Drosophila melanogaster: one gene and its partner. The protein of the gene in region 2 interacts with the protein of the main gene of each other region in a pairwise test. Each region holds a gene or a part of one and is shown on either strand. Other genes may lie near its edges.

Region 1 (4,568 bases), on a different chromosome or scaffold from region 2:
ATGTACTACTTGTATTTGTACTTGTACTTGTGTAGTCCTACTGATACGTGTATATTGTCTATAAAGAAACATCGCTGATAAGAGGAGTTGCGCGCGACCTCCTCACTTAATTCGGGTTTGCCGTGGGTGGGAAATGTATAGTATGAATATGAAGCATATTTGTTTGGGTTCTTCAGTGAGTCATTTCTAAAATTGTATAGTCGGAGAGACTCGCTGGTCTTACTCATTTGGCACAGTTCACATCCCATTTGTAGTTATCATAATTTTTCGGCTAGACATTCATAAAACTAAAAGTCAATGGTTGATAAGGATCGTTCAATGGGGTTCGCGTGGACTTTTGCATGCTAAACATATGTTGACGGCATGCTGATACGTCTTTTTCGGCGTGGGCCTGGCTATGGGAACATTTCCGTCTGCTCTGCTGTTATCATCAACTTTTTTTGGCTAATTGGCGCTGTCTGGAGACAATATCAGCATATTTAGTGCTTGAGTTGGCAACCAAAAGAATTCAATCATTTTCGATGACGACCCGCCCAGTTACGTGGGTAGTTCTAGGTATTGGGTGGGGTAAACTGTTGTAAAATCACGCTGTGAAATTTCAAGTGAGTTGACGCATTAGCAGCTGAGTTACTTGAGTTGGTTGGAGTACTCGGTTTGTTTGAAGGCATGCCGCTCACGTGCCCCGATAAGAAATGTTCATAGTTGTAGGGATCGCAGTAGGGCTTTCGCATGTATTACCTCCCACAGTTTTATCTACTGAACCTCTTTAATCTTAACTGATTATTTAGTTTTTTACCGGTTCTTGTAGCGTTTGTTTTGCTTGGCCATACTCTAGATATAGATTTATTTTTAGCTGAAGTCCTCATATATACGAATATAAGTTATACGAATTTTCGGTATTGTATATTTATCATTCCCAAAAATAAAATACTCTCAACAAATATGATGAAAATGCAGCGCGTGCAGCAAATGAAGCACGGCAAATTGCTTTAATTCAATCAATTGCTCTCGCCTCTGTATAAATATAATATATAGATATTACCCTTCTTCCCTTTACCAATTTGTCAAATTTTCGGCTTGCTCGTGTGCCCCTGAGAAAAAAAGTTGCGTCAAGCGCCACGCGCAAATTGTCGCCAAGCAAATTTTTGGCGTCACCCCCACGACTCGTGAACGAATCTTCAAATCTCAGTTGGCTCCACCAGCGAAAGATCACCTCAGAATCGGCGAAATGTTTGTTTTGGTTCAGTATTCTGTCTTGCCTTGATCTTGAATGCTTGCTTTTCATATTTTGCCAATCTGTTGTTGTCAACCAAAAACGAGCCTTAGCACGAATATTTTTAGTACCTGCATTCATTGTGTTTTCGAATAGTTCTCAGGTTTTAATACTATGTATTGGGTAAGACATGTTTCCTGCCTTTGATCAGGTGTTAAAATTTCCATAGACGACACTTGAAACAGGTGTTTCATGTGAATCAATATGGGCAGCCCTCGAGAGATCGATAATATTCCTTTTCTGGATTGTGTAAACAACTGAGTTCTTATATTCATTAAATGGAATTACGGCATTCCGGTCTGTTTATTTTGTTAATGTGGGTTATGTTTGGGTATTTTGAAATTTGTTTTAAATTTGAATGTTTAAAATTATTGTTTAAATATTCGCCAGAGAGAACGCCTAATGCAAAAGGGTATTAATCATTTTTATCTGTTATGTATTTTTTATCTCTCAGTTTAATTCATTTACTATCACATGGTTTTTCAGGTTATCAGACATTTATATCGTTTCTCTTATTAACACGTACACCACTTGTTAAATTCATAAAAGATGATGCATCAGAAAATGCTTCTAGTTCCTTATCAATCGATAAGAAAGTTAAAAAAATATTTTCTTTCGACATGAAAAAACCTGAGAATTGGTACTCTTTCAATGATGTTTGGCTATTTAATTTGTTTTGATTGGCTGCCGAAACTCGTGGATTCACTTAGAGCAATTCTGTGTTAAATTAGTCCAATTGCTGGCTATATTTATTTATGAGTTATATACTTTTGTAAACTTACTTCAACGATTGACGGGGATGTCCGCTCATGAAGTCCGCCAGAAAACTAACGGGTGGACTGTGACTGAATATGGGCGGACTGTGCGAAATCATTTTATATATGGCTTCGATCTGCGCTGATTACAATGATCTCTACAAACAAGGAACTTTGGTATGGAAGCCCCTGTGGAAAAATATAGAAAATTAACGATTTGTTTTTGTTGCTAATCGAAGCGCGGCAATAAATGAACGTTTAATTGGAAAGTAATGTGTAAATAGAATGCATGATCCGAATATATAATATATGTTTATGAAATTTCATATTAATTGCTAATCTCAGGTGGAATCGGAATTAATGATGGTATAATATAGCAATACCATTTCCATAAGAGATAACATTCGAAACGTTGTTAGTTTGGTCCAAATGCATGTTAAAATCAGTTTGATTCGAAACAAGGTGATGTAAATGCTGATACCCAAAATAATAAAATGCCCCCCTTCTTATGTTTTATAAAGTTTTTCATGATATGTTTATTGTGTAGTTTTAGCTTTACAACTAACCGTTAATTGTTATCTCCACTCTGTTTTCCGCTTCACTTTTGACTTCTGGCTAGGAGGTAAGGAACTTTTCTTTTTCTTGTGCAGTCAATCCACTTTAAATTTTACTGTGATCTTTCTTTCTTTGATCTTATTTAAATTTTTACTTTTTCATTTGTACATCACGCGTGAGCGTCAGACAATGAAAAACGATCGTTGGGACGGAACCTTAATTGAATTTATTAAAATCCTCCGATCGGGGCACTTTTTTCGTGGTCACACACACAAAACGACGAACGATTTTTAATAGATTTTTCGCGGACTTTGCTTAAGTGTAGCTAAATTTTCTTGTGTCAATTATTTAACACGGACAAAAAAACAGCAACTAGTTTCCGTCGCGTTCCCCGCTTCGTTCCGTTCCTCCTATGAACCGTACGCTTCGACGATGCGAAAACGAATGAAAATGTTTGTTGCTGCAACTTGCCGTTAAGACTTGATCGGGGCGACAGAAAAAGAGAGAGAGAGAAAAAGAAAAAGAGAGAGATTGGTTGTTTGAATTCCCTTCCAAGACATATAGACATGTTAGTGGAGCGTTTGTAATGTTATCAGAATGTTATATATTCAAGAGGCCAGTATATAAAAACAGAAAACAGAAATAACAGTAAAGCAGAATAAAATAAAATCATCCCATTTTTACTACTAATGAACGACCACATAAAACAGTTAAGTTTTCTGCTCTGTTAGTACTTTAAAGGGTATACATAATTCAGCGTTCTGAACTCGCGTTAGGTTTCTAGAATAGCCCCGGTCTCTCTCTCACTCTCTCTCTCTCTCCTGATCGACGTGGCTTGCATATTTTGATTGCATTTTGGTATTCCGCAGTGATTGTAGTTGTGGTTTCGATTTAGCGTCGGTCCTAGTTGCTTTGATTAGTTTTGGCGCCACTGGCGGTGACAAAAGTCAAAACGGGTGTCAGCCCCTCGAGACATGATCACATGCACGGGAAGCATCCCATCTCCCAAAATCAAATTTCCCACTGAGCCTCGTGGCGCTCAAGTGAATTTCAAGGAGTTTGGCAAACACTTTTTCCGTCTCAGCTTTTTAAATATTTATCTTATCGAAGTCGATAGGTTATAGCCTCTGGTCTGTTCAGTTCAATATTTATAGCCTTACGAACTAGAATTGGTATTATTAGTTAAATTGTTTTTTATTATAAAAGATATTTCACACACAGATTTATAAGGGCCTCTTCCGCACTCAATTGAATATGGGACATTATTCACCACTCGACTCATTTGTGAGTGGGTTTTGGTTTTATGTGTCTGCCCACGCATTTCTTTTATGTGAGGGTGCTCCCCTGACATATGTAAATCAATTAGGCCTTCCATTAGGGTCTCGTGAATGAGACACTTTTAGTCTATTTTCATTGCTGAACTTATAAAAAGCTCTTCGAATTTAATCGATTTTGGTAATAAAAAAGGAAAATATGCAACTATATTAATTGAAATTTTTTATAAATAATAAATACTATAAAACCTAAGTCTATGTCTCAAAAAGTACTTTATCTGCTTTGATAAGTTATCAGCTGATTATAAATGCATTCGTATTAAAAATAGTCCAAGTCATTAGTGATTATAGCTTAAAATTCCTCATCAATCCCATAAAACTCGCGCGTAAGGCCATTATTAAAATAGAAATCAACACCTAAACCTGCGTAAGAGGCTCAAAATTTCAAATACTCAACTAATGAAGCATTGAAATTGATTTTCCTCGTCGCTTTTTCTTTTCCAATCTATGCATGTAGAGTTCAGGCCAGTTTCGACCCACATGATATCTGTCGTACCCACATCAAAACTGTCCCAGACAAGCGGAAACCGCTGAATGCAACCAAGTCTGCTCAAAAATGCAGTCTCAGGCTCGACTATTCGGAACTCGAAATTGTGGTTGGGCCTCCTTTATATAGAGACTGTATATGTATTTGAGTTTTATCTATGCTCT
Region 2 (4,104 bases):
ACGAGGCATTCGATCTGATGCACAAGGGCGAGAGTATCCGATCCATTATTAAGTACTAAGCATGAGATAACAATTCTTTGCTTTTCACTTTTTATACAAGTTGGCAATCGCATGCGATTGCTTAAAATAATAAACTCCCAGTGTATATGTACATAAGAGTATCTTCATTGGGGGTCGGATTACTGTCCCTCTCGCGCTTACTCCTCATAATTGCTTGGATTTGCTTATCTGCACTGCCCCACTAAATCTCGAAGTTCAACAACTTGGAATTGTTCGAGATTGCGGTTACTTAATACGTATGTATATTTCAAGAATTTCGCAACATTGTTATAGATTGATAGAGTTATCTGATGACCCAAACTAAACTCACTGCCGGACATCCCCTAAGGCCCCGAAAGTTGTAGATTAAAGGTCAATCGTAAGAACAAGATTGGAATAACCAAGTGGAGCGATAAGACAGGTACTTTGTGCTGTTTTCACCATATGAAAAAGTCACGATTACACGTATAGAATGCCTGTATTTAAATACGCACTACAACAACGTTTGCAGACAAACACGCGTACAGATACTTAAAAATGATAATAAGTCTATGTATCTAGTATGTTTTTCAATTTAACAAACATGCATGCAGTTTTGGTTTCGTCGTTACATATAAATCTCATTTTAAATGCATATTTCTTATGGAACTCGCTAGCTTATACACAAGTGTCTTTTAAATAGTCTGATATTGCATACGTATAAGAGTAAAACTTTAGATGTGTTCGACTTTACTTGTGACTAAGAATGCGCTGACGTTTAAAAAACATACAGAGCAAACGAACACAAAGGAGTATAAATACTTTTTCCTAAGCCTAGGAGAGTATGAGAATACTATTGAAATACTATTATCGCGGGACATTAGAACTTAAATCTATCGAAAACACAAGAGATGGTATATAGGGAGCTATGGATTATTCTAGGAGTGGGATTCGGTTTGAAATTATTTGAGCACGGGCAGGACCAAAAAAGTCCGCCTCACATCCGCGAATTGTAATACGGGTCGTCTTCGCATGGCGGATATCCGTAGAGATACGGATGGTGGCATTGCACTCACGACCAGCGCGACTTCTGCAGGTCGATCTGTCCCTCCAGGGTCTTGGCCAAATAGATGACGAACAACTGCAGCAAGGCTATGCCCAGGGCAACGCCGGCAATCACATACAGATTCCTCTCGACCCATACTCGCACGATCTCGATGCAGCCGCTGGTCCAGATGCGCTTGCTGGCGGCGGCCACTGAACGCACCTGCACGCCATAGCCACACATGATGTTCACTAGGCCGGAGCTGATATCGGTGGCATTAATACAGCAGCTGTAGGGCACTCCACATCTCTCCACCGACGGCGATGAGCAGTTGAAGTACTCGTTCTTGCCTGTATGCATACGGACATGGAATTAATTCGTTTGTGGCTTATGAATCAAATACTCACTCCAATCCTGGTAGCCGGCGTTGCTCAGGCCGCAGCAGTTAAACTCCTGCTGGGCAAAGTCGATGAAGTTTTGCAAGTCGGAGTCGTCACGGTACGAGTGGATGATTTTGTCCGTGAACTGGTACTCGAGGAACGAGTTCATGTACTGCGGGAAAACGAAGCAGATGATGGCCAGCGACATCTCCAGTATGAAGAAGAGAAGCAGGCACATGGAGTACAGCTTTAGCAGCCAGGTGTTCTCGCGCAGCGCACCCAAACAGCCGGCGAAGCTGACCGTGAAGACGATGACTCCGGCGATGATCATCACCAGGGAGATGTTGAAGATCACATCGTAGATGGTGTCCAAGCGCAGCCAGCCATTGCCGTCCATCAGTTTGTCCATGAAGGCGTACACGCCGATGGCCAGGAGCAGGCCGCCGAAGAGCCAGAAGAGGAAGTTTAGCAGGAAGATCATGTACTTGACGCAAGAGGAAACGTAGCTGAAGTGGTGCGGATAGGTGGAGATCCGCGGGTGCATGTAGTTGCCCCCCTGATGGTATCTGTGATTGCTCATGGCCACGCGAATGTGCAAGTCGTGTTTTCAGCCGAGTATTTCGATGAGTATTACTTTTCCTGGTATTTTTGCCCAGGTTTCCTCCCCCACGGTTTTTTCTTTTTGTTGACGCCCTCTTTGCGTGTGGTCTCTTCAGCGGCCTGCACGGCTGTTTTGCTATAGTTTCGCAGTGCGTCAGTGGTGGACTGTCTAACTCTGGTGTTTCCCCGCAGCGAATATGATGAATTAACGCACTAGCTTAAATTTTATGACTGATAAGCAAATTTATGGAGCCACTAAAAATAACAAAGTGCCCGGCGTTGCCAGACGTGCTGTCCAATTAGGCAGCAGTTGGCAGCGCGGCCAGTCAGCTGTTCGCGTGACCGTACTGCCTTTGTTGCCTATCATCCAGCATTCGATTGGCAACGCGAGCCAGCCAGGTGTTTGATTTTCATCGCGTGCAGCTGTTTTCCCAAGCAGCTTTTTTTGTATTAGTTTTTAATTTTCCACCGCTGCGTAACATTGCGACGCACGCTTGTTTTCGCCCGCGTTTGGCGCATTCATAAACAAAAGGCCAAAAATAGAATCAGCACCATTTAGAGCGCTATTCAGCAGGTGAGTAGTTTTCCAGCTTAGAGAAAACCCAAGGACGCACCATTTAAGTGTGGGAAAATTAAGTGTTTTTTCTTTTCGGTTCTCCGCTGGTGACATTGAAGCACAATTGCGAGCGCATTTTCCCTAATTGAGTTGCGACTTTCTCTGCACTGCGCTTTCTCCTCGCCAAGCGTTCAAAAGCAGAAAAGCGCACGAAAATAGAACGGAAAATGTGGGAAATGTGGTAGACGGAAGTGGCAACGCGAATTGCATAAATATTAGTTAGTACGCGTGGGCAGTGCGCAGTGGACAAAACATTGACTTTTCCTCCTTGCTCTGCTCATTTTCCCCCTGTTGCTGTGCTGATTAAATAACCAGGCAGTGCCAAGTGCAGTTGTCACCTGAAATTAGCCACATAATGTTTGCACTTTCTGCTCGCCACGCACTGCGGCGCACTCGAATATTCGCCATTCCACGCTTTTTCGCAGGTGAGTTGCACTAAAAAGTCGCAGGTATAGTTTGTAATACCTGTGGGCGTGTCAGCCCATGCTCATCGATTGGCCATCGGCTAATTTTAGACACAATTTGAGTTGATTTTTTTATACATTTGCATTCTATATGAACGCAATTTAGCCGCTATTTTCTGACTTTGCTCGCAATGAATTCATTGTCTTCAATTGCCCGCGACACACTTGGCTGGCTTTTCTATTGTTGCACTCGGAAAAACCGAAAATAAAAGGTGACTGCTCCACCTACGCTATTCGATTTTCGGTTTTTTTTTCGGCTTTTCCTTCGCCTTCGTTTGCTTTGGGCGCCACTCCGTTTGATTGACGGCGGGCAAGCAGCATAAAAAGCCATAAAACTATTTTTGGCCCAATGCGTTTCTCCACTCCATTTGTTGGCCGCACTTAACAAATCTGTTTACACCTTCATTAATTAGCAGGCAAGTTTGTATACAAAATTGGTGTTACTAATTCCCTGGATGCACAACTTTGATTTTGAGTTTTCAAGATTGTTAACAAATTGTTTAAGAAAATGATAAGTATTTTCTATATTTTGTACGCTATATATAGCTTTTGTTTAATATTGGAATAAGAATATTTATGTATATATTTCCTTATCAAATTGGGTTCCAAAAATGCCAAAAATTTTCTTCATATAATTCATTTTCATAAATGGTATGGTATCGTTTGTATGAGAAAACAAGATGATTATGAGTTTCGAGAAAGTATTTTCAGCAACTCATGGCTGATAGTAGTAAGCTTCTTATCGTCAGATGGCCGCATTCAAATAAGCGAGTTGAGATTGCCCAAGGTTTCGTTGAAAGTCCCACCGATAAGTGGGCAGATTATGAGGGAAATCTTACAGAAGCTTGACGAAATCCCCTACTCAGTTTCCATTACCCAACTGCTGGCGAACCGAAAAGCACACTCAAACCGACCCGACCGCAAATCAAATACCAAAGTATTGTATTGCATTCCAGATTCACGCCAAGACAGCGACAATCC

Evidence for each region. The genes of interacting proteins can lie anywhere in the genome.
Region 1: the proteins of Tsp86D (region 2) and Gbs-70E interact in a two-hybrid assay, tested with the Drosophila melanogaster proteins (one large-scale study listed by BioGRID).

The regions. Positions count from the first base shown.
Region 1 is NT_037436.4:14,547,943-14,552,510, forward strand, and holds the start of Gbs-70E (glycogen binding subunit 70E), read right to left. Parts: upstream 3,034-4,568; 5' UTR 2,595-3,033; intron 2,218-2,594; 5' UTR 2,148-2,217; coding exon 2,056-2,147; intron 1-2,055.
Region 2 is NT_033777.3:10,866,952-10,871,055, reverse strand, and holds Tsp86D (tetraspanin 86D), read right to left. Parts: upstream 2,349-4,104; 5' UTR 2,024-2,348; coding exon 1,471-2,023; intron 1,414-1,470; coding exon 1,091-1,413; coding exon of another isoform or gene 1,016-1,090; 3' UTR 501-1,015; downstream 1-500. Other genes in the region: Fdh (formaldehyde dehydrogenase), read left to right, coding at 1-59; SelR (selenoprotein R), read left to right, coding at 3,015-3,084, 4,080-4,104.